Linked DNA regions of Macaca fascicularis. Each later gene encodes a partner of the first gene's protein in a complex. Links are inferred from orthologs where the notes say so. Each region holds a gene or a part of one and is shown in the gene's direction. Other genes may lie near its edges.

Region 1 (3,138 bases):
GCCTGGGTTCTATACTGTGATCTCATTTGCCTCGACTATGATGGAAACATTTTGGATGCCTGCACATTTGCTTTGTTAGCGGCTTTAAAAAATGGTAAGCAGCCTTACAAAAACGACAATATTCCCACTAATGGGTTAGAATGTTCTGTTTTGTGAAACTTTTAATGTACATTTGCTTTCGTATGCTTCCAAATTAATGAATGTAATACTGCCATTACTTTCCAAATATAGTTGATAGTTGTATATTCTCTAACTGAATGCTCTTTAGAGTGCTGCTTTGACTGTACCCGTCTACTTAGGTTAGGACTTCAGTCCTTTCCATAATAGTGTTAATAATGGTGGGAGAGGGAGACAAGACTTGTAACTTCTGGCTAGGTCATTGGTGAAGATCTGCCAGTATCCTCATAGTTCTTTATGTGATATTGCCAAAAGAATTAGAATGGATTCTGTTCTTTTTACTGTGAGGCCATAGTAATAGTGAAGTTTCTTAGCAAGGAGTCTAGGTTGACTGATTAGTTACAGATTTCAATAACTTGTGCATATTCCCTATCATTGGTGAATGATGAATTGGTAGGAACAAATAATTGGAGGTGGAAAATAAAGTTAGCACAGCAATATTATAATAGAGTGGTTAAGTGAATTGGAGGTAGAAAATGAAGTTAGCACAATATTGTAACAGAGTGGTTAAAGCAGAGACTTAGGTTTGATTCCTGGCTCTGTCACTCTGTGCTGAAGTTTCCTTATCTATAATAAAATAGGGATAATAGTATTTAGTTTCTAAGAGTATTGATTAGGTGAATACAGTGAAAATGTGGAAATGCGTAAAACAGTACCTGGCATATACAAATTAGCTAGACATGTTATCTATTAGTAATCATTTTCATTTCAAAACTGGGTACAGTGGCACATGCCTATAGTCCCACCCAGCTACTGGGGAGGTTGAGGTGGGAAGATTGCTAGGAATTTAGTTCTAGCCTGGGCAACAAAACAAGACCCGATCTCTAAAAATTTAAAAAAAAATCATTTTGACTTCTTAAACTTAAAAAAATTATGCAATAAGCACTAGGTAGGCATGTCAGATGTTGTGAAGAGCAATGTATATCCTCTGTATTTACCTTAGTGGCTGTAAGGTGCTTTTTAAAAAGAAATGTTCTGGGCAAGTTCAATCGAGGGAAAGGTGAATTAAAAAAAAAAAAAAAAAGCTTAGAAACCATTTGTTTCTTAGAGACTTACTTTACAAATTTGCCTTTTCTTAGTACAGTTGCCTGAAGTTACTATAAATGAAGAAACTGCTTTAGCAGAAGTTAATTTAAAGAAGAAAAGTTATTTGAATATTAGAACTCATCCAGTTGCAACTTCCTTTGCTGTGTTTGATGAGTAAGTTAATCAAACTTACTTTAAAATTTTCTATATTTAAGATTTGGGTAATTGATGTTCAGCATTCTAACTCTTCAGGAAGTGCTATGAGTCTGACTCTACATCCTAGTTTTCCCTGGACACTTGAGTTTATACTTGTCCCTGCACAATTATTTATAGTCAACCTGTCTGCTTTCATAAGCATCCTGATTTGGATGATAATTGTGTTCACTTTACCTGTTCCTTGGTTTACTTATACCTGTGTAATGTTAATTTCTAATTCTTTCACTAAAGATTTACCTGAAGCTATCTTCAGTATTTTCCAAGGATTTTAGCACATTCAGAAATAGTAGAGCAGGGCGAGGCATGGTGGGTCATGCCTGTAATGCCAGCACTTTGGGAGGCTGAGGCAGGGTATCACCTGAGGTCAGGAGTTCGAGACCAGCCTGGCCAAGTCGGTGAAACCCTGTCTCTACTAAAAATACAAAAATTAGCTAGGTGTGATGGTGTGTACCTGTAATTCCAGCTACTTGGGAGGCTGACAGTATGTTTAGTATTTTTAAAGTAAAATTTGTTCCATGGATTGATAACTTATACTTTTTTCTTTTTATAGCACTTTGCTTATAGTTGACCCTACTGGAGAGGAGGAACATCTGGCAACAGGAACCTTAACAATAGTAATGGATGAGGAAGGCAAGCTCTGTTGTCTTCACAAACCAGGCATGTTCCTGCCACTTCAGTCCTAAACATATGTAGATGAAAACTCAGTGTGAGCCTTAAATTAGGGAGGGCCAAATGGAATATGGGATATTTCATTTACCTAATTTAAGTTTACTGTAGTTTCTTAGCTACCTCAAATTTTCTTCCATCTTAATGGTATACGTCAGTGATTCTTAAACTTAAGACATACATTAGAATCACTTGGAGGTCTTGTGAAACTAACTTGCAGATCTTGAGACTGTACCCTGATTTATGTTATCCAATTTTTTTATTTCATAATTTGATATGACATTAATGTTTTTTGAAAAGCAGTGATAGATTTAAAGTATTGGCAAAATAATTTTTCAGGTGGAAGCGGGCTAACTGGAGCTAAACTTCAGGACTGCATGAGCCGAGCAGTTACAAGACACAAAGAAGTTAAAAAATTGATGGATGAAGTAATTAAGAGTATGAAACCCAAATAAATAGCCACTTTTCAAAACAGATTTGTAAAAATTGTATTTGTTAACACTGTGCACAAACATTTTATACTAAATAAATATCAAACTACATTCTTCTGAAAGATGTTTCTATTATTTCTTAGGTCACTTCCATATAATGTATAGTGAAACCATTTTTAAAAAGCAATGACTTAGGCAAACCAACCCTAGTTTGTTAAACCATTTCCCTGTTTTTATTTAAAAATGATAAGGTTGTGCTTCTGTATAAAGTTTGTACATCTAGCAATGTAAAAGACTGACACATTAAAAAAACAAAAAGTAGAAACTCAATCCTTTTGATTCAATGCTCTTGTGTTTTTAAAAAAGGAACAAAAAATAATGCAAGACTCAGAATTTTGGACTGGTTGGCGTGCCTCTCTTCATTTTACTTTTTGACTGGCTGCCTGTATGCCGATGACGATGTAGCTGAGCTGTTTGTGCTGCTGCTGCTGCCATAGCCATTTGATGCTGCAAGAATCGCAACTGCTGCAAAAGGGAGGGAAAAAAATCGAGTTATGTTAAATGCAGGCAGGTGTGGAAAGGTGCTTTTCCTGAGAGTGACGAAACAACACAACTGAAAAAG
Region 2 (4,258 bases), on another chromosome or scaffold:
TAATGTGAATTCCATTCCTTTTGGGGCCTCGATTTCCTCCTCCATAAACTGGTATCCACAATGCCAACCTTGCGACAGGCTCCGTGAATGTGAACGCTGTGAGAGTGCGCGTCTCTCCCTCCCGGGAAGAACTTGGATGGTGTCAGGACTACACTCTCGCTCCGCCTAGGGCCGCTCGCTGGGCCTGGCTTCCTGGCCGCCGGGCTACGCGGGCTCAAAGGACACCATCGCCCTCTTATGGCCCCGGCAGTACTGGACCAAGGGGCTGGGCTCTAGCGCCTTCCTCCAAGCACGGCGGAGGGCGAGGGTCTGGCCGCCCACTTACCTAGGGCCTTGGGGCACTAGCATTCACGTCACGGACTGCCTGGCAGGGCTGACTTTCTTAAGTGTGGTCGTGCGCCTTGCTTAAGTGGAAGAAATGCTGTCGCTTTGGAGATTTATAAAACAATTGGTTCGATGGATCTTTCTTCAGGAGGCAGACTTGGTTTACCTGCTTTTCTGACCACAGTTGATGTAAATGATTTCATTTAATCCTCTTTAGAGTCCCTGTGCATGGGGAATTACCATTCCCAATTAGTTTGTTGTGAATGTAGGGCAAGGAGAGGGAGACGGTAGTGGGGAACGGGAGAAGGGGCGAGGGGTACGCTCCTATTAAAACGGAGCCGCAGCAAAACCCACAGAGACATGTCTGTTCCCTGCTGAATCCTTAGAACAGCGCCTGGCACACACAGAGCACTCAACTCGCTGTGTAACTAAATGCAAGCCATCTTCGTATTATGTGTGCACTTCCCTTCCCTACCAAATATACCTGGCTTGCAAGGTTTGACCTATACTGTTAGACGATTTTTAACTTGTTTCCAAAAGAAATATTGGAGTAAATTAGCTTGCTTAAAGAAGTCTTTATGAAAGAACAGAACCAAGTGAGAAGTATCTGGAGCCCGGTTTGGAGGTATAGATGATGATGCTGAGCCAGCACCCACGGGGCGGCAGCAATGTAGAATACTGGGGCTACTAGGAACCGTGTGGACGGGGGCTCTTCTCTCTGTTCAAATAGTGTTTTCTGTAGATCCCATCTCTCCATCCTCCTGAGCTCTCTCTTAGAAAATACCGGATTTCAGCAGCTTAGAATCGGACAGAAACTCAGAGGTCCGTTTCTCAATTATCGCTAACTCTTGTAAACAATAAATGGGATGGTGAGTACAAGACAGTTTTGGTAAAAAGTCACACCCCACACAACGTGAGATTGTATTATTCCACGGGTGCTCCCTTGCCAATAGTAAACATGGCAGCTCGGCTCCCTTCCCTTCGGGTTCGCCTTAGTGTTGCCAATTGTAAACATGGCCTCCAGACCGTGAGTTCTCATTGGCAGCTGCTCTGAGTCCCCGCCCTTCCCCGCCCCTCCGAACGCGGCCAGGAGTTGCGGAGTCGGATATCGCGGCTCCCGGCTGAGCTGCGCCTGCGCAACTCATTGGCGCCAAGATGGCGATGGAGATGAGGCTTCCAGCGGCTCGCAAGCCTCTTAGCGAGAGACTGGGTCGCGACACTAAGAAACATCTAGTGGTGCCGGGGGACACAATCACTACGGACACGGGATTCATGCGGTACGTGGGGACTTGGGGGAGTCGAGGCTTCATAGAGCGGCTTCAGGGCTCTCTGCACGTGGTCCAGGCCTCGTATCCCGGTGTGTCTAACTCCCCGCGGGACCCCAGGCACTTGGTCTGAGCATCCTACTCGCCTCGCTTCCGAGCCTCGCGCTTCTTGCCCCCTGCGTCTTGTGTGTCCCCTTCTGCGTTTGTCTCAGCTCCCTGAAACCCTCCACTCCTGACCTCTGGTGGCTGTGACTTTTGGGTCTTCTGCCTGAAGTCCAAATCTTGGAGCCTTCCTTGTAGGAGACCTGGAAAACCGGGGAGGTTTAGGCGCAGGCTCTCTTTCCAGTTTTCAGCTCTCTGAGGGGACGGTGGGTGTTCTTGGCCGCCTCCTCTTCAGTTTAGAATCCGTAATTGTTCGAGCTTAGGGCAAACAGTTACATTGTGCTGCCTGCACCCATTTATACACATTTTGAATCCAAGGGGTGCAGTACAGTGTGTTGTAGTTAAGAGGGCAGGCTCTTTTTTTTTTTTTTTTTTTTTGAGACAGAGTTTCACTCTTTTTGCCCAGGCTGGAGTGCAATGGCGCGATCTCAGCTCACTGCAACCTCCGCCTCCCAGGTTCAAGCGATTCTCCTGCCTCAGCCTCTCGAGTAGCTGGGATTACAGGCATGTGCCACCATGCCTGGCTAATTTTTGTATTTTTAGTAGAGACGGGGTTTCTCCATGTTGGTCAGGCTGGTCTTGAACTCCCGACCTCAGGTGATCCACCCTCCTCAGCCTCCCAAAGTGCTGGGATTACAGGCGTGAGCCACCGCGCCCGGCCGAGGGCAGGCTCTTGAGTCAGACAGTTGGGGTTCCAGTCCAGCTACCATCACATCTTATTAGCGGCATTGCCTCTCCACGGTCAGTTTCCTCATCTGTAAGATAGTGATAATAACAGTATGATACGGTAATGAGGATTAAATGAGATAATTATGTAAGAAAAGAAGTAAAACCAGCCATTATATCATCATCATAGATAACACTAGCGTTTCAACCTTTTTTTTCTGTACATGTATCTATACAAGGGGCACAGCATTCATAGCATTGCCCTTTAACCTGTTAGTTTAAGGCTAGTGGATCCTAGGAAATATTTTTTTTTCATTTTTGAGACGGAGTCTCTCTGTCGCCTAGGCTGGAGAGCAGTGGTGGGATCTCGGCTCACTGCAACCTCTGCCTCCTGGGTTCAAGCAATTCTCCTGTCTCAGCCTCCTGAGTAGCTGGGATTACAGGCACCTGCCACCATGCCCAGCCAATTTTTGTATTTTTAGTAGAGATGAGGTTTCACGATGTTGGCCAGGCTGATCTCGAACCCTTGACCTCAAGTGTGATCTGCCCACCTTGGCCTCCCAAAGTGCTGGGAGTACAGGCATGCCCAGCCCCTAGGAAATTTTTTTTTTTTTTTTTTTTAATGAGACAGAGTCTCACTCTGTCGCCCAGGCTGGAGTGCCGTGGCACAGTCTCAGCTCACTGCAACCTCCGCCTCTGGGATTCAAGCAATTCTCCTGCCTCACCCTCCTAAGTAGCTGGGATTCCAAGCGCACGCCACTATGCCCGGCTAATTTTTGTATTTTTAGTAGAGACGGGGTTTCACCATGTTGGTCAGGCTGGTCTCAAACACTTGACCTCGTGATCCACCCACCTCGGCCTCCCAGAGTGCTGGGATTATAGGCGTGAACCACCGCACCTGGCCAGGAAATCTTAAGATTCATTCTTTCGTTAATGCTTTCAACATATATTTATATTTTGTGCAGTTGGGATATAACGGCAGAGTGAAAAATCTCTGTCCTGGTGGAGTTATAACGGAGAATGTTAGGCAATAATGCAATGGGGAAAAACGTGGAGCAGGGTCAATGGAATGTGGGGGAGTGGTGGCAACGGGGTGGGCTGTGTTTTCAATGGCACAGTCAAGGTAGGCCTGCTGGAGAAAGTGACACCTGAGCAGACCTGAGTGAGAGGGGTGATTTCCAAGTAGCCAGTCTGGAGAAGGAGCACTGAAGGCAGAGGAAGCAGCCAGCACAGAAGCCAGGCTTTGCAGGGGGAGCTTGTTAGCTTTGAGGAACACATTGTTCTTGAAAGGAGAGAGGTCACCTCGAGTTACCCTGGTATCCTTTCTTTGTACCTTTGCCTTGCATCAGGGGCCACGGAACGTATATGGGAGAAGAGAAGCTCATTGCATCTGTTGCTGGCTCTGTGGAGAGAGTAAACAAGTTGATCTGTGTGAAAGCTTTGAAAACCAGGTGAGAACAAAAGGTGTGTATTCCCTTTCTTGCGGCATCCAGGTTGTACAACCAGGCTTTTTCTGCCCCCTCCATATCCCCTACCCCACCCCTGCCTGCCCTGTCATGCTGTAAGTCTGAGGTTTTGACCATGACTGTAGGTGGGGTGGTGCAGATCAGTGTAGGCTTCAGAGGTTTTCCCATGTTATGTCACCACTCCAAGCCTTGGTTACCTCCTCTGCAAAGTGAGTATAATAGCATGGCCTACTTCACAGGATTTTCTTTTTTTTTTTTGAGACGGAGTCTCGCTCTGTTGCCCAGGCTGGAGTACAGTGGCACAGTCTGCACGCTGCAACCTCTGCCTCCCGGGTTCAAACGATTCTCCTGCCTCAGCCTCCCAAGTAGCTGGGA
Region 3 (4,252 bases), on another chromosome or scaffold:
AGCCATGTTCTCCCCACAGGCCCTGAATGAAGCCTTGAAGCTCTTCAAGACACACTCCCCTCAGACGTCTGCCATGCTCTTCACGGTGGACAACGAGGCTGGCAAGATCACTTGCCTGTGTCAAGTCCCTCAGGTCAGAACCACCTTGCACCAGTGGGAAGTGTTGGGTCTTAAGCTTGTTTGCTGAGGCCTGTGTGTGTACAACCTGCATTTAAAAGAGCCTGTCTCCTGCCTGCCTGTTGGTCACCTTTGCCAGTACCCCTTACCTAGGCCTCCTCATTGGTTGCATCTGTCTGGTTGATACTTGGCTTTGCCACTCTGTCCTGTCCTGGCAGGGGCCATGACTGCCCCCTGCACTAGCCGTAAAGTCTGTCTCGGCCTCCAGCAGTATCACCCAGGGCAAAGGAGTGGGTGATGGCTCCTCCCTCAATCCCATTTTCTGTCCTGACTTCCCCCTTCCCTTTCTTTCTTCTAGAATGCAGCCAATCGGGGCTTAAAAGCCAGCGAGTGGGTACAGCAGGTGTCAGGCCTGATGGACGGTAAAGGTGGGGGCAAGGATGTGTCTGCACAGGCCACAGGCAAAAACATTGGCTGCCTGCAGGAGGCGCTGCAGCTGGCCACTTCCTTCGCCCAGCTGCGCCTCGGGGATGTAAAGAACTGAGCGGGGGAGGAGGTGGCTTCTACTGGCTCCATCTGTCCAGCCGGGAGCTCTTCATCTGCTACAAGAACATTTGAATCCTGGGACCTTTTGAGAGCCCCTCCTACCCCGGCCGTACCTGGAACACCCTCACGAGCAGTCCTGTGACTCAGCGCCCCTTATACTTCTGCCCTGAGCCCTCCACATCAGTGCCATCTGTCGAGAACCACTACCCCCGCATTGCTGTTGATCACCACACTCGCATCTGTAGATAACAGCTCTCCAGCCTGAGCTTTCCGTGTCAGCAAGGACGAATCGTTTTTTGCTGCAGAGAATAAAAGGACCACGTGCAATACTTAATGCTATATGATCTCTATCCCTCTTCCCAGGTGGAGCTCGCTGTTTTGACAGCCCTTGGCCCCTGCTGTCTGTAGAATAAATGCTGTGGCTTCTACTGGCTGCTGTAGTGTTCACCTAGTCCAGCCCCAGAACCCTAAATTTTGGGAAAAGCCCCTGGGGTTGCCTCAAACGTTTGTGGAGGTTGAGGCCAAATAGGTAGGGTGACATGGAGCAAGGCGTTCATAATTCAGTAGATGGGGTTAGTGGAAGCAGAGAAGCCTTGGAGCTGCTCTCCCGCTGCCTTCCAGCAGGAGGGATGGATCAGGCAGCCCTGCACAAGTGGGACCAGGGCGCCAGGGACGCCGGCCGTTCTCCCTCCGAGCCTCCAGCAGGCGCTGTAGCGTCGCCCGTCACTCTCCCGACAGCCCTCACGCAGGCGCGCGTCTTTAAGCAACGGAAGAACCAGTGGGTGCGGCAGTGCGTTGGGCGGAAGCGGCTCTCAAGCCAGGAGCCGCCATGCCCGGGGACCACCGCCGCATCCGCGGCCCTGAAGAGTCGCAGCCGCCGCAGCTGTACGCGGCCGACGAGGAGGAGGCGCCCGCCGCCCGCGACCCAACGCGACTGCGGCCCGTGTACGCGCGCGCCGGGCTGCTGAGCCAGGCCAAAGGCTCGGCCTACCTGGAGGCGGGAGGCACAAAGGTGCTGTGTGCAGTGTCGGGCCCGCGACAGGCCGAGGGAGGCGAGCGCGGCGGCGGCCCGGCCGGATCTGGCGGCGAAGCCCCGGCCGCGCTGCGCGGTCGCCTGCTGTGCGACTTCCGCCGCGCGCCCTTCGCGGGCCGCCGGCGCCGCGCTCCCCCGGGCGGCGGCGAGGAGCGTGAGCTGGCGCTGGCGCTGCAGGAGGCACTGGAGCCGGCCGTGCGCCTGGGCCGCTACCCGCGCGCGCAGCTCGAGGTGTCGGCGTTGCTGCTGGAGGACGGCGGCTCGGCCCTGGCCGCCGCGCTCACCGCCGCCGCGCTCGCCCTGGCCGACGCGGGCGTTGAGATGTACGATCTGGTGGTGGGCTGTGGCCTGAGCCTCGCGCCGGGGCCCGCGCCCACTTGGCTGCTGGACCCCACGCGACTAGAGGAAGAGCGCGCCGCCGCGGGCCTCACCGTGGCGCTCATGCCTGTGCTGAATCAGGTGGCCGGGCTGCTGGGCAGCGGCGAGGGCGGCCTGATCGAGAGCTGGGCGGAGGCCGTACGCCTGGGGCTCGAGGGCTGCCAGCGCCTCTACCCCGTGCTGCAGCAGAGCCTGGTGCGGGCGGCGCGCCGCAGGGGCGCCGCCGCCCAGCCCTGAACTAGAAGCCTGAGCAACGACGGACGCAAGCCGAGGACCGTGCTGCCGCCGTCCCTGAAAAGACCCGCGCCGTCGGCCTCCAGCCTGCGTCGAGGTAAGCAGCCGGAGCCCTGGAGAGCACCTGGGTAGGCTCTAGCAGAGCCAAGGCGCCGGACAGCTGTGGTGTTGGAAAGGGTTTTTACAAACCTCGTTAAAGGAACTTTACTTGAGCCGGCTCTTAGCTTCGACCCAGTTGAGGAAACCTGTGAGCGCATCCTGACTCCCAAGTTGGAAACTTTAGCTGGACTTACCTGGAAGCTGGTACCTAGAGCTGCTGTCATTCAGGCCAGCCAGTGACCCCCTCCGATATAACTGGGCGACTTTTCAGAGGATGGACAAGACGACTGTGCCTTCTGTGTCTGAGCCAAAAGAAAGACCCTTTTATATTTGAAAAACGTCTTATGGTGTGGTTCTTCTTGGTCCGGGATTTAAGAGAGCAAGGCTCTTTTGTTCTTGCATCCCAGGTGTCAAGGGTCGCGGCGGCATTGCCTTAAACGGGTTCTGTTCCTTAGGCCCACGTGAACAGGAGACGGGCTGAAAAGAGCTGCAGAGCCTGAGGGGAGCGCTGTGATTTGGAGAAGCAGCTGCCCCCACATGAACCAGAGTTAGGGGAACTGCTGAGATACGACGAGAGTAGGGAGAGTTGGCCGGGCCGGCGGCTCACACCTGTAATCCCAGCACTTTGGGAGGCCAAGGCAGGGAGATCACCTGAGGTCGGAAGTTCGAGATCAGCCTGACCAACATGGAGAAACCCCGTCTCTACTAAAAATACAAAATTAGCCAGCACTAATAATGGTGGCATATGCCTGTAATCTTAGCTACTCGGGAGGCTGAGGCAGGAGAATCGCTTGAACCCGGGAGGTGGAGGTTGCGGTGAGTGGAGATCGCACCATTGCACTCCAGCCTGGGCAACAAGAGCAAGACTCCGTCTGAGGAAAAAAAGTACGGCCCCAGAAGTGCGCTGAGTGCACCTCGTGCCCCAACCTGGCTTGGTGCTGGGTAGCTGAAAAGGGTTTTGCTCTGCGTAGAAGCCATCTGTCCTTGGCCATGTGCAGAATGGCACAACCCGAGCCTCCACTGCTGGTGAGAAGTGGCACCCTGGTCCTACAAGGAAGACCCTGAGCAGCACCGCAGAGGGCAGGTGCACTGCTAGGAAGGCCAGGTACAACCTGACTGACTCACCACGAGGTGGGGTCTTTCCTGTGTCGCTACCAGCTCTGCTGGTTTGGGCTCAAGACTGCATGGTAGGAAGCTAGGTGACTGCCATTTGGAAGGCGGCCTGGTCCCCTCTCTGCACTCAGCTTCTCTAGGAAGGGCCGACCTGGGTCAGCCCAAGGACCAGAATGAGTTTCTGGGGCCACACCCAGAACCCCTGACCAGGAAAAATACAAATTTTATTTTTTCCCTTCTGACATAACGTGTCTTTCTAGAGCAGGTCTGAAATAGTATCACACCAGTGGGGAGAGGACATAATGTAATTCTGAAGGGTGACTTCCTAGAGTAGATGGGGAGTCTGGAGCCCAAAGAGGGCTGTGTGGGGTACACACTGAGAACATTCCAGCAGTTTCAGGGAGATTGGAAACTCAGGGAGATCTGCTGGCTATCTGTTGACTGGCGGTGTATCGGGAGGGGAGTGAAGATCAGCTGTGTCTGCATTCAGACAAGGCTGAGGGTGCCCTCTGAGGGGAGGGGAGGGGAGGGGAGGGGTGGGGTGGGGTGGGGGGTGGGGGTGGGGGTGGGGGTGGGGTGGGGATGGGCTGTCATCTGCCCCTTGCAAGAGAGCCTCAGCTTCATGAGGATGGCGACCTGGTGCAGTCCCAGGCCACCTCCTAACCGTGTCAGTCCCAGGACCATCATCTCGAAATGCAACCTCTAAAGAAGCTAAACCCACCACTACAGGTT
Region 4 (3,664 bases), on another chromosome or scaffold:
GCTCACTCATTCTCATGCCTCTCAGTCTTTCAGGAGAGCATAACCACCTCTAAGGGGATGCTGAACTTGGGCCCCTGCAGCAGACTGCATTTCCCCAGCCCACCTGCTGTTCCTACAGTCTAATATTGACACTCCTCTCACTGAAGGGTGGGGTCCCTGTCCCCATCCCTTAAGCCTGGGTAGATGTGTCTGACTGCCTTGACCCACAGAGTCTGGCAGGAGGGACACTATGTGACTTCTGAGGCTAGGTTCTAAAAATATCATGCACATGTTGTCCATCTCATTGTCCTGGAAGGCTACCCTTGGAACCCAGCTGCCATATTGCAAGGAAGCATGGAGAAGCCACAGGTAGGTGTGCTGCCTGACAGCCACAGATGAGGTCCTGGCCAGCCACCAGCATCAGCCACCAAAGATGTGAAAGAGAAAGCTTTAGGATGGCTCCAGCCCCAGCCACCATCTGGCAGCAACTGTAGGAGAGAGCCTACGTGCAAACTACCTAGCTGAGCCTAGATAACCCAAGACTGCAGGACATAATAATAGAATGATTGCTATTTGAAGCCGCTGAGGTTAAGTGGCAAGAGATAAACAGACACACAACCCCTCTCTGGAAAGGATGAGGAAATCTGCAACCTCAAAAGGAAAAGGGAGGCCCACTCGACTGCAGTGTGGAAGCCCGGTGTAAAGGGAGGGCATGAGAGGACTGGAGAGGTGCCAGGTGTGGACCATCCTGGGACACCAGCCTGGTCACTTTTCTAGCACCGCTCTATGCCTTCTCCTGTCAGTGTCGCAACCCACTGGGTTCATCCTTCCACTTCCACACTTGGGGCGCGGGGAAGGGCTGAATGTAGGCACCACTGGTCCCGAGGGCGTGACGGGAATTTCTCCTTCGGCGGGCGCCCACCTCCTGGCACCCGGGACACAGCTCCGGGAACGGCTGCGGGCTCAACCGCTGCTTCCCCGACAGCGCCACCGCAGTTCCCCGGAGACAGAAGTGAAGCCGAACCGCCAGAAACCGTAGATCCAGGGAGGTCGGTGCCGCGAGGAACTCCAGTTCTCCGGGACCGGAAGTGACAGCGGACCGCCGGAAACCGTAGATCCAGGGAGGTCGGGACCGCGGGGAGCTGTAGCTCCCCGGAACCGGAAGTGATAGCGGACCGCCGGAAACCGTAGATTTGGGGAGGTCGGAGCCGCAGGGCGCTGTAGTTCTCCCGCGAATCAGAGAACTAGGCAGAGAGCGGAGCTGGCGGCCGGGCAGCATGGCGGGGCTGGAGCTCTTGTCGGACCAGGGCTACCGGGTGGACGGTCGGCGCGCCGGGGAGCTGCGCAAGATCCAGGCTCGGATGGGCGTGTTCGCGCAGGCTGACGGCTCGGCCTACATCGAGCAGGGCAACACCAAGGCGCTGGCGGTGGTCTACGGCCCGCACGAGGCGAGTGGGCGTGCGGGATGGGAATCGCGTGACCGCGGGATCTGCGGGGCAGCCGGGCTGAGCACAGGTTCGGGGACTTGAGAGGTGCGGCCGGCGCGCCTCAGTCTACACAGCCGATGCTCAGCACTGCATCTCACTCGGAGTAAACGCAAGTCTTTAGTGTGCTGCGCGGTGGTCCTGCCTTTCTCATCGGTCTCTGTGCCTGCGCTCTCCCTCCTCTTTGCGGCTCTTCAACGTGCCAGGCACTCCCCCACTCGCTCCCTCTCCTCTCAGCTCTACTCCGACGTCACTCCTTCTCAGACGGCTTTATCCATGCGGTACTTCTCTCCCTACAATAAACCCTTGTCTTTTGTGCATCTACAATCTCAAATGCCTATTTTGCTTAAGCATTTTCCCGTTTCCTCGCTAGAACATAAGCTTCCTAAGGACAGAAACTACATAAAACTCTCTGGTTTCATTGCTGTGTTTCCAGCGCTGTAACTGTGCCTGGCCAGTGAAGGTATTGAAAGAGTGTTTGTTTAGCGCATGAGGGTAGGAGCTCTGCTTTCCAGGCGGAGGGAACCAGGAGGGCGAAGACCACGGTGGTGAAAACAAGCAAGGCACTCATGCATAACAGAAAGACTGCTGGTGGGGAAAGAGGGGATAACTCTAAATAAGGTTGAGAGTTCCCGGGGAGGTGAGGAATTAGGGTTTTGTAGACCAGGGAAATGATTTGGGATTTTATTTCATATGTAATGTGAAACCTTTGTAAGGTAATTAGGATTTGAGTGTGAAGGTGAGACAGAATCAGCCTTGATGTTTGTAAACTTGGGTTGGCAGGGAATGGGGCAAGGATGGGCACAAGGAAGCCAATTAAAAGATGCCAGAGGGCAACACATGCAAGACAGTGCAAAACAGGGGGCTTTGTTTTGGAGGTAATGTAGTTGCCCCTTGCTGAGGCATTGAAAGTGGAGGGAGAGGCAGACCCACAGAGGACAGTGGCGTGTGAGCTGGAAGGAGTGGGCCTGGCTCATGTGTCCGTCCTCTTCCAGATCCGGGGTTCCCGGGCTCGAGCCCTGCCGGACAGGGCCCTAGTGAACTGTCAATATAGTTCAGCGACCTTCAGCACAGGTGAGCGCAAGCGACGGCCACATGGGGACCGGAAGTCCTGTGAGATGGGCCTGCAGCTCCGCCAGACTTTCGAGGCAGCCATCCTTACACAGCTGCACCCACGTTCCCAGATTGATATCTATGTGCAGGTGAGCCGGCTGCAGTGTCAATCCAGGGAGGGGTGGGTGTGATGGGGTTGGGGAGAGAGTCTGATAGACTCACACCCTGGGGTCCCTGCAGGTGCTACAGGCAGATGGTGGGACCTATGCAGCTTGTGTGAATGCGGCCACACTGGCAGTGCTGGATGCTGGGATACCCATGAGAGACTTTGTGTGTGCGTGCTCAGCTGGCTTTGTGGACGGCACAGCCCTGGCGGACCTCAGCCATGTGGAGGAAGCAGCTGGTGGCCCCCAGCTGGCCCTGGCCCTGCTGCCAGCCTCAGGACAGATTGCGCTGCTTGAGATGGATGCCCGGCTGCACGAGGACCACCTGGAGCGGGTGTTGGAGGCTGCTGCCCAGGCTGCTCGAGATGTGCACACCCTCTTGGACAGAGTGGTCAGGCAGCATGTGCGTGAGGCCTCTATCTTGCTGGGGGACTGACCACCCAGCCACCCATGTCCAGAATAAAACCCTCCTCTGCCCACACAACCCTCACTGTACGTTAATCACCCAATAGCACTTCAGAGCCATGTGAAGCCTGGCAGAGCCTGGTCTGGTGCTGGCTCCTGGGGATGACCAGGGCCCCTCGCCCACACATGAACTGCCTATCTCTGTGTAGCCTAATTCAAACCCTGAAAAGAACAGTGGATTAGGGGGTTGCTGTGGGGGAGGTCCTGGGTGGAAAAAGCAACATGTCCCAGTAAGGACTCAAGGCAGCTGAGCAGGAGGCAGGGCCTGGCAAGATGAGCAGGTCATTGGACTGAGGAATCTGTTACCCTTACTCTGGCACATCCGGGGCCCTGAGCAAAGGGCTGAGGGAGAACTCAGCTGGCTCTGAGTACCCAACCTAGAGATGTGGGGGCCATGTCCCATGGCCTCTGGACTATGGCCTGGAGCCCCTTGGGCTTTTCCTGCTGCTTACCTTGGGCTCTAAAAAATGCAACAGCCAGGCATGGTGGCTCACACCTGTAATCCCAGAACTTTGAGAG
Region 5 (3,970 bases), on another chromosome or scaffold:
CTTCCCCTGTCCCTCCAAGGAACCTCCCCTGAATACGAGTGGCAGTTAATAAGGAACCCCCGGCCGGGCGCGCTGGCTCACGCCTGTAATTCCAGCACTTTGGGAGGCCGAGGTGGGCGGATCACGAGGTCAGGAGATCGAGACCATCCTGGCTAACACAGTGAAACCCCGTCTCTACTAAAAATGCAAAAAAAAAAAAAAAAATTAGCCGGGGGTGGCGGCGGGCGCCTGTAGTCCCAGCTACTCGGGAGGCTGAGGCAGGAGAACGGCGTGAATCCGGGAGGCAGAGCTTGCAGTGAGCTGAGATCCGGCCACTGCACTCCAGACTCCGCCTCAAAAACTAACTAAATAAATAAATAAGGAACTCCCATCCCTCTCTTCAAGTCGTCTCCCTCCCTCAGGGCCCACAAAGAAGTTGCAAACGGGTTTTGTCCTCTCCTGAAGAAGTGGAAGTTCTTTTCTTCTAAGGAAGTGGCAGATCTTCCCTTCGGTGTCTTCTCCAAGGGGTCTCCCACTTTTTCCCTTCTGTGACAGCCCTTCCTTCATATCCTTCAGGGACCCCACACTCTGAAGATAGCCTTTACATCCCTAATCCCCTTTGGGAAAACCCCCTGGGGCCCAGGTACTCACAGATCTAGCCAATCCCCGAGCCCCAGGCCGCCACAGCAGCAAGAGGGCAGCCTGGCTCAGGCCTCGGTTTGGCCGCCAGACCCTCGCTGCAGCGATCGCTACCGCCATCTTGGCTAGCAACCACTCAGCGGTAGGGCACTCACGTAGGCTAGATTCGGGGCTGCCCCTTTATGTGCCTGACACAAACTCCAGCACCATCTGACAAGAAAATCACCTTCTTCCCATTCTGTTGTAGATAGAATGCACAGAGATTTGGAGAAGAAAACCTATCTACCCAAAATTTTCCCCAGTCGCCTCATTGTAGTTACTCCTGTAACAGGCAAAGAAGAGGGCAACCTGACCACGGCCTCAGGGATTTAGGGCCCGGGGGCCCAGAGTAAAACAGGTCACTGCCAAGGCCTGCCTCCTGTTCTCAACTGTCCAATGGCGTTGCCAGAGTTAGGAGGTGGGACTGGGCGGAGCCAGATTGTTGGTAAACGCTAAGCCACGTGCGGACGCCAGGACTGACGGCCGAGCCCAGCGCGTGCGCAATGGTTACGCAGAGTGTTCGCAGCGCGCGCTGCCGGGCGGAAGTGATAATCGCAGCCGCACGTGGGGTCGGCGCGATGGAGGAGGAGATGCATACTGACGCCAAAATCCGCGCTGAAATTGGAACAGGGTGCAGCCCTCGGGGTCCCGGCTGCAGCCTCCGGCACTTTGCCTGCGAACAGAACCTGCTGTCGCGGCCAGATGGCTCTGCTTCCTTCCTGCAAGGTAAGAACTTACCCAGGTCTTTTGGAGAGGGACTACCATGTACCGTGCAACGGAGTGCCCATCTCCCCATGATACCAGCTGGTAAATGTCACTCCTGCGTTGATACATGATTTCTTGTCCGATTGAATACTACTACATACGCAGGGATACATACATCTCTCCCTCACGACTAGAAAGGAGAAGATAGCTCCATCTTTGTAAATATGTCTGAGAATGACAGGCGGGGCAGACCGTCCCCGCAAGAATTGATATTTCAGAATAGGGAAAATCACCTCACCAGGGTAAATATCGCCCTTAACTAGGTTCCTCCTCCTCACCCCCGCCCCCGCCCGCCCCACACACACGCCCGCTAGGTCCTTGCATCCCGGACTGACGCAAACCTGTCAATTTGCATACTCTGGACTGTGGCGGATCTTTCACCCACGTAAATACTCCTCAAATTGAAGATAATGTCACTGCCCTGGGTTGAAAAATACATCCCCACCGCTACCTCACTGCATCTCTCCACAGGAGTAAATATCCCTAAGATTAGGGCAAGTCTTACCTATAGGGCAAATATCCCCTTCCCCTAGCTAAATAACTCTCAGAACCAGATTAACTCCAAGAATATTTCTCTTTAACGTTTGAGACAGGAGGCTGGGCACAGTGGCTCACGCCTGTAATCCCCACACTTTGGGAGGCCAAGGCGGGTGGATCACCTGAGGTCAGGAGTTCGAGACCAGCCTGGCCAACATGGCGAAACCCCGACTCTACTAAAAGTACAAAAATTAGCCAGGCATGGTGGTGGGCGCCTGTAATCCCAGCTACTGGGGAGGCTGAGGCAGGAGAATCTCTTGAACCCAGGAGGCAGAAGTTGCAGTGAGCCAAGATTGTGCCATTGTACTCCAGTGTGCACGACAAAACAAGATTCTGTCTCAAAAAAAAAAAAAAAAATTTTGAGACAGGGTCTCACGATGTTGCCCAGGTTGGTCTTGAACTCCTGGACTCAAGCAGTCCTCCTCCCAAAGTGCTCATATAGGTACCAGCCACCACGCCCAGCCCCAATACATTTTAACAAAATCTGGCTGCTGTGTTGATTGTGGGGAGTATGGGGGAAAACAGGGAGGTGATGGTGGCTCCAGCCAGAACAGGAGTAGTGGAGGTGATGAGATTCTGGATGTAGTTTGAAAGTAAAACGGACAAAACTTACCTATAGTTTGGTTTGAGTGCGAGGAAAAAGAGTCAGGCATAACTAAGGTTTCTGCCCAGATCTGTACAAGTCTGGAAATCAGGAGAGAGACCCAAGCTGGACATAGGCAATTTGGAACTCTCTGGCTGTATATATGGTATTTCAGCCTATTGACTGAACGAAGTCAGTGTAGATGGAAAAGAGGTCCCAGGACCAAGCCCTAGGCCTTCCAACTTGAGCAGTCAGGGACTTGTGACAAGCAAGCTAAAGGAGACTCAGAAGGAACGCCCAGAGACTTAGGGGGAAACCGGGAGAGGGTGGTGACCTGGGGCCAAGAGAAGAGCGTGTCTGAGATGTGAGGGCTGACAGCTGTTTCGGCCTTACTGACAGCCGGGTCAATGGAGGGTTGATCATTTGGAGGTCAGTGGTGACGATGTTGAGCTGCCGCAGTGGAGTGGTGGGGTCACAGGAAAGGAAGAATAGACAGCTGTTCAGGAGTTTTGCTGTAAGAGGATCAGATAAGTGGGGCAGGAATTGAAGATGGTTGTGGGGTCAACAGGGGAGAGAATTGCTGGAGCCACGTCTTGAAGAAGGTGAGAGGGGAGGGACTCTTGTGCTCAGGTGAAACACAGGCAGTTCATCTGGAGCCAGAGGCGAGTTCTATTTTGGTTTCTCCAGTCCTCAGGGCAGTTTTTCCTGGAACTAAGCACACCTTCCGTGTAAGGGCAAATTGGGCATCCCAGGAAATACCGCCTTAACCAGGGACCTTCCCGGACCCTCCCTCAGGCTTAGCACTTATGCTGAATTGAGATACCTCAAGTTTCTTCGAACCTAAGAATTAAGAAGGGGCCGGGCGCAGTTGCTCACATGGGTTGCTCACACCGGTAATCCAAGCACCTTGGGAGGCCGATGAGGGTAGATCACCTGAGGTCAGTAATTCTTTTTTTTTTTTTGACACAGAGTCTCGCCCTGTCACCCAGGCTAGAGTGCAGTGAAGCGATCGTGGCTCACTGCAACCTCCACCTCCCAGGTTCCAGCGATTCTTCTGCCTCAGCCTCCCGAGTAGCCAGGACCACAGGCGTGTGCTCCCACGCCCAGCTAATTTTTGTAGTTTTTAGTAGAGACGGGGTTTCACCATGTTGGCCAGACTGATCTTGAACTCCTGACCTCGTGATCCACCCGCCTCGGCCTCCCAAATTGCTGGGATTACAGGCGTGAGCCACCTCGCCCAGTCGAGGTCAGGAGTTCTGAGACCAGCCTAGCCAACATGGTGAAAACCCGTCTCTACTAAAAATACAAAAATTAGTCGGACGAGGTGGCACGCACCTATAATCTCAGCTACTCTGGAGGCTGAGGCACGAGAATCACTTGAGCCTGGGAGGCGGAGGTTGCAGTGAGCTGAGATTGCACAACTGCACT
Region 6 (4,058 bases), on another chromosome or scaffold:
GGCAGTTAAAGGCCATCAGTCAGTCATGGCCTCCCAGACCCTGGGAACTCTACCACTGCTGGAGAATCTGATCAAGCACTAATTGAAGGTTCCAGTTGACAGAGAAAACAGTGATTTCAAATAAGAACCTCAAAAGTCAGATGATTGGAAGCTCTGTGGATTTGGAATTCAACTGCTTCTCACCTGGGCAACTAAGTGTGCTCCAGGGAAATTTGAGTTACTTATATTCCAGGCCATGCAGGACTATCGCAAGCATGTGAAATATGTATATTTGCAGGAGGAAAAAGTCTAGGGAGAAATACACACCAAAGGAATACATTCGTTCATTCATCAGGCATTACCTATTTCATGCCACACCTTGGGCTCTAAAGAATCAGAACTACCACGTAGCAAGGGAGAAAAACGGGTAAGAATAAAACATCATTTATTTCCTTATTTTATTTTTGTCTGTGTTTTCTAAATGTGACTAGATCTCTAACAACCAAGAAGGTTTTATTTATTTTGAAAAAATATACTTTCCCTGTTAAAAGGTGAGCCACTCTTCTGAGGGCAGAGTCGGAAAGAAGGGTCCAGAAGCCCACCTAGCGTCCGATTTCCTTCTTTTTTTTTTTTTTTTTTGTTTGTTTGTTTGTTTAACAGAGTCTCGCTCTGTCGTCCATACTGGAGTGCAGTGGCGCCATCTCGGCTCACTGCAACCTCCGCCTCCTAGGTTCAAGTGATCTCCTGCCTCAGCCTCCCGAGTAGCTGGGATTACAGGTGCATGCCATCACGCCCGACTAATTTTTGTATTTTTAGTAGAGACAGGGTTTCACCATGGTGGCCAGGCTGGTCTTGAACTCCTGACCTCAAATGATCCACCCGCCTTGGCCTCCCAAACTGCTGGGATTACAGGCGTGAGCCACTGCACCCGGCCCCAGCGTCCAGTTTTCAAAGCCCCTCTGCTCAGCTTCCAGAGATCCCGGGAAACTCTAAGTGGGAGCATCTCGTATCCCCACGATGCGACCGGTCACAAAACACGGGACCCGAGACACTGAAAGTGGAGGCTTCTTGATGGATCAAGCTGCGCAGTTCTCATACCGACCCGCGGCCAGGCTGTAAGACAGGTGGTCGGCTACAGACACAATCACAGCCACCTTGGACAAGGACCCGTGAGCTGACAGCCATTAAGCTTCATAAACTGGTCCAAATCTAACGGACCGCTACCGCCGGAAACGGAAAGTCCTCAAGGGCGGGTGTTGGAAGCAGAGCGGAAGCGGAAGGAGAGTACCGGAAACGGTGTTTGGTGGCGCACGCGATGGCCGAACCTGTGTCTGTTGCGGCTGAATATCTCGCGGGCAGCAGGGCGCGCGCTGCACGCACAGTACTAGGTCAGGTGGTGCTGCCGGGTGAGGAGCTGCTCCTGCCGGAACAGGAGGACGCGGAAGGCCCTGGCGGTGCTGGGGAGCGACCGTTGAGCCTGAATGCTGGAGCGCGCTCGCGGGTGCGCGTTGTATGCGGCCCGGGCTTGCGGCGCTGTGGGGACCGCCTGCTGGTCACCAAGTGCGGCCGCCTCCGTCACAAGGAGCCCGGCAGTGGCAGCGGCGGCGGTGTTTACTGGGTGGACTCTCAGCAGAAGCGGGTGAGCTGGGACTGCGGAGGGGTGGTGCGGCCGTGAGAGTGATAGCCCTGGTTTGAGAAGACCTCCCAAAAGAAGAAGGGATGAGATCCTGAGGCCCTCTTGTTCAGGCAAACCTAGAGCCACCGTAGTCTTGTGCCCACTTCTGCATGTCCTTTAGAGGGACCGTGAACAATAGGAACATAGCCTGAGAAGGGCGACCAGGAGAGAAAAACGTTTGGAGACCGTGAGTCATGATTATAAAGTCTTCAAAACTCCAAACGTCAGGGAGCAGCAGGCTTGCCCATTCAAGTCTCAGAGGGCAAGACCAGGCTCAATGAGTGGATGTCATAGGGAGTTAATTTCTCCTAGAACAGGTAAGAACTTTCATACAGAAAAAAATTGTCTAACTATGGAATGGGCTTCCTTGGTTGTAAGGATTCCTTTGCCACTGAACTTATGCCACAAAGCTAGGAACTTACTGGTTGGGGTGCTGAAGAGATAATGGGGTTTGGACTCAATTAACAGACTACCAGAAGCTGCACACCTGACACTTTATGATGTGATTTTCTTTTACCGAAAGTGGCATATGATCAGATTTCTTTCTCTTTAATGACAATAAAGTAACCACGAAGGACGTGCTGAAGGTATCTTCCAATGGTATCTTCTCATTTATGGATGTTTTCTCATTCTATTTCCTTTTGTAGTATGTTCCAGTGAAAGGAGACCATGTGATTGGCATAGTGACAGCTAAATCTGGAGATATATTCAAAGTTGATGTTGGAGGGAGTGAGCCAGCTTCTTTGTCTTACTTGTCATTTGAAGGTGCAACTAAAAGAAACAGACCAAATGTGCAGGTAATTATGGGAGCCTTTGGCTTCAAAGTAAGAAACATCCCTTCCCTAGAACACTCAGATATCCAGAAGGCTACCTGAATTGTCTCCGAAGTATGACCTAGATCTTTGAGCATGTATATAATTGCCCCAGGCTCCAAGAGTTTCTTCAGATGCTGCAGGATCAGAGCCACATAATTTTTTTTTTTTTTTTAACATTTACAATTTATTTTACATTGGCTACATTTGTTCTTGGGATGTTTCATTTCTACTGAGTTGAAAGGTTGTATCTGTCATCACCATTATTTGTTATGTCCATATCCTCGGGACAAGGATGTCTGCTGTAGGCTTAGAGGAGTGACAGGTGGTGCAAATTGACATTATCAGCTATCCATCCATCCTGGCTGTAGGTCCTAGAGCTGATAGAGGAGTAATACTGTTACCTTGGGTTTTCAGGTTGGGCTTTTCAGGTAGCATAGCCACACGCTTCTTGTCTATCCAGCCCGAAATCTAGTGATGTCTTTGCCTCTTCACATTTACTTCTCATGCAAATTTATTTGCTTAATCTTATTTGATTCTGTCTCTGATTTTTGGCATGTCTATCCCTTTATCTCCACTTTGCAAGTTCAGGCTTTAGCTCCGTCTTGACTGGTCTCAGTCACTTCTTCATTAATCCTTGCCTCCACGCTTTTACCTCACCATCCAGGGTTTTGAGAGCTGACATCCTAACACAGTTACTTTCTCGAAAAGGAAAAACGAGATTCTCCAAAATCCACAGAATTCCTTGGCATTACACTCCAGGTGTCTTTCCTCATCCCTAATTATATCCTTCATACAGCCATACTCTAATCACACCAAACGCCATTAGACTCAATTTCCTGCCCTTATTCCTTTACACATGCTGTTCCCTCTGTCTTGATTGCACTATCCCTTCGCAGCCTGTGGAACACATTCTCATCCTTTGAGACCTAGGCTAAACACGACCGCCTTTGTAAAGCCATCCCCAGTTGTGACTTTTCTCATATTTTTGCTCTAGCACTTACTGGATTTAGCCTCGACTGAGGTTTGTTTATATGTACCTCCCCACTGCCCTCCAAGACCAAATGCTTCTGAAAAGCAGAGAATGTTTTGTTCCTCTCTAGTTTACATAGTCACCAACAAACAGTGGGTACTTAATATGTTTTGAGTGAACAGAATTGAGTTCACTCTCCATTTCCTCAGTTTCATCCCTTTAAGGTTTAGCTCTATGAGGTTTTTAAGTAAATCTTGCAGGGAGAAGTGTCAGTGAATTATTGTTTTGTTTTGCTTTGAATAATTTGCATGCCGGAGTTCCTCTCTGTAAATTGTAATTCTCTAGGGTAGTGCCACCTAACATAACTTTCTACAGTGATGCTGTTTTGTATCTGCACTGATTAGTATGGTAGCAGTTGAGCACTTGAAATGTGGCTAATGCAACTCAGGAAATTAATTTTAAATATCTAATTTTAATTAATTTAAATAGCTGTTGAGCACTTGAAATGTGGCTAATGCAACTCAGGAAATTAATTTTAAATATCTAATTTTAATTAATTTAAATATAAGTTTAAACAATTGGCTACCTACCATATTGGACAGTGCAATCCTAGAGGTGT

The links.
Region 2: EXOSC8 (region 1) and EXOSC2 share a complex: the UniProt entries of both Homo sapiens proteins name them as parts of the RNA exosome core complex. The link is inferred for Macaca fascicularis from reciprocal best matches to the Homo sapiens genes EXOSC8 and EXOSC2.
Region 3: EXOSC8 (region 1) and EXOSC6 share a complex: the UniProt entries of both Homo sapiens proteins name them as parts of the RNA exosome core complex. The link is inferred for Macaca fascicularis from reciprocal best matches to the Homo sapiens genes EXOSC8 and EXOSC6.
Region 4: EXOSC8 (region 1) and EXOSC4 share a complex: the UniProt entries of both Homo sapiens proteins name them as parts of the RNA exosome core complex. The link is inferred for Macaca fascicularis from reciprocal best matches to the Homo sapiens genes EXOSC8 and EXOSC4.
Region 5: EXOSC8 (region 1) and EXOSC5 share a complex: the UniProt entries of both Homo sapiens proteins name them as parts of the RNA exosome core complex. The link is inferred for Macaca fascicularis from reciprocal best matches to the Homo sapiens genes EXOSC8 and EXOSC5.
Region 6: EXOSC8 (region 1) and EXOSC3 share a complex: the UniProt entries of both Homo sapiens proteins name them as parts of the RNA exosome core complex. The link is inferred for Macaca fascicularis from reciprocal best matches to the Homo sapiens genes EXOSC8 and EXOSC3.

The regions. Positions count from the first base shown.
Region 1 is NC_088391.1:16,553,999-16,557,136, forward strand, and holds the end of EXOSC8 (exosome complex component RRP43), read left to right. Parts: coding exon 1-94; intron 95-1,256; coding exon 1,257-1,377; intron 1,378-1,969; coding exon 1,970-2,076; intron 2,077-2,424; coding exon 2,425-2,540; 3' UTR 2,541-2,638; downstream 2,639-3,138. Other genes in the region: SUPT20H (transcription factor SPT20 homolog), read right to left, coding at 2,904-3,041. UniProt on the Homo sapiens protein: Non-catalytic component of the RNA exosome complex which has 3'->5' exoribonuclease activity and participates in a multitude of cellular RNA processing and degradation events.
Region 2 is NC_088389.1:13,185,575-13,189,832, reverse strand, and holds the start of EXOSC2 (exosome complex component RRP4), read left to right. Parts: upstream 1-1,458; 5' UTR 1,459-1,479; coding exon 1,480-1,601; intron 1,602-3,766; coding exon 3,767-3,868; exon of another isoform or gene 3,869-3,881; intron 3,882-4,258. UniProt on the Homo sapiens protein: Non-catalytic component of the RNA exosome complex which has 3'->5' exoribonuclease activity and participates in a multitude of cellular RNA processing and degradation events.
Region 3 is NC_088394.1:70,113,694-70,117,945, forward strand, and holds EXOSC6 (exosome complex component MTR3), read left to right. Parts: upstream 1-1,452; 5' UTR 1,453-1,492; coding exon 1,493-2,311; 3' UTR 2,312-3,762; downstream 3,763-4,252. Other genes in the region: AARS1 (alanine--tRNA ligase, cytoplasmic), read left to right, coding at 20-133, 476-661. UniProt on the Homo sapiens protein: Non-catalytic component of the RNA exosome complex which has 3'->5' exoribonuclease activity and participates in a multitude of cellular RNA processing and degradation events.
Region 4 is NC_088382.1:153,749,584-153,753,247, forward strand, and holds EXOSC4 (exosome complex component RRP41), read left to right. Parts: upstream 1-1,148; 5' UTR 1,149-1,256; coding exon 1,257-1,427; exon of another isoform or gene 1,428-1,744; intron 1,745-2,458; coding exon 2,459-2,665; intron 2,666-2,756; coding exon 2,757-3,116; 3' UTR 3,117-3,164; downstream 3,165-3,664. UniProt on the Homo sapiens protein: Non-catalytic component of the RNA exosome complex which has 3'->5' exoribonuclease activity and participates in a multitude of cellular RNA processing and degradation events.
Region 5 is NC_088393.1:48,537,984-48,541,953, reverse strand, and holds the start of EXOSC5 (exosome complex component RRP46), read left to right. Parts: upstream 1-1,170; 5' UTR 1,171-1,235; coding exon 1,236-1,383; intron 1,384-3,970. Other genes in the region: BCKDHA (2-oxoisovalerate dehydrogenase subunit alpha, mitochondrial), read right to left, coding at 631-738. UniProt on the Homo sapiens protein: Non-catalytic component of the RNA exosome complex which has 3'->5' exoribonuclease activity and participates in a multitude of cellular RNA processing and degradation events.
Region 6 is NC_088389.1:61,537,498-61,541,555, forward strand, and holds the start of EXOSC3 (exosome complex component RRP40), read left to right. Parts: upstream 1-1,258; 5' UTR 1,259-1,294; coding exon 1,295-1,618; intron 1,619-2,301; coding exon 2,302-2,451; intron 2,452-4,029; exon of another isoform or gene 4,030-4,058. UniProt on the Homo sapiens protein: Non-catalytic component of the RNA exosome complex which has 3'->5' exoribonuclease activity and participates in a multitude of cellular RNA processing and degradation events.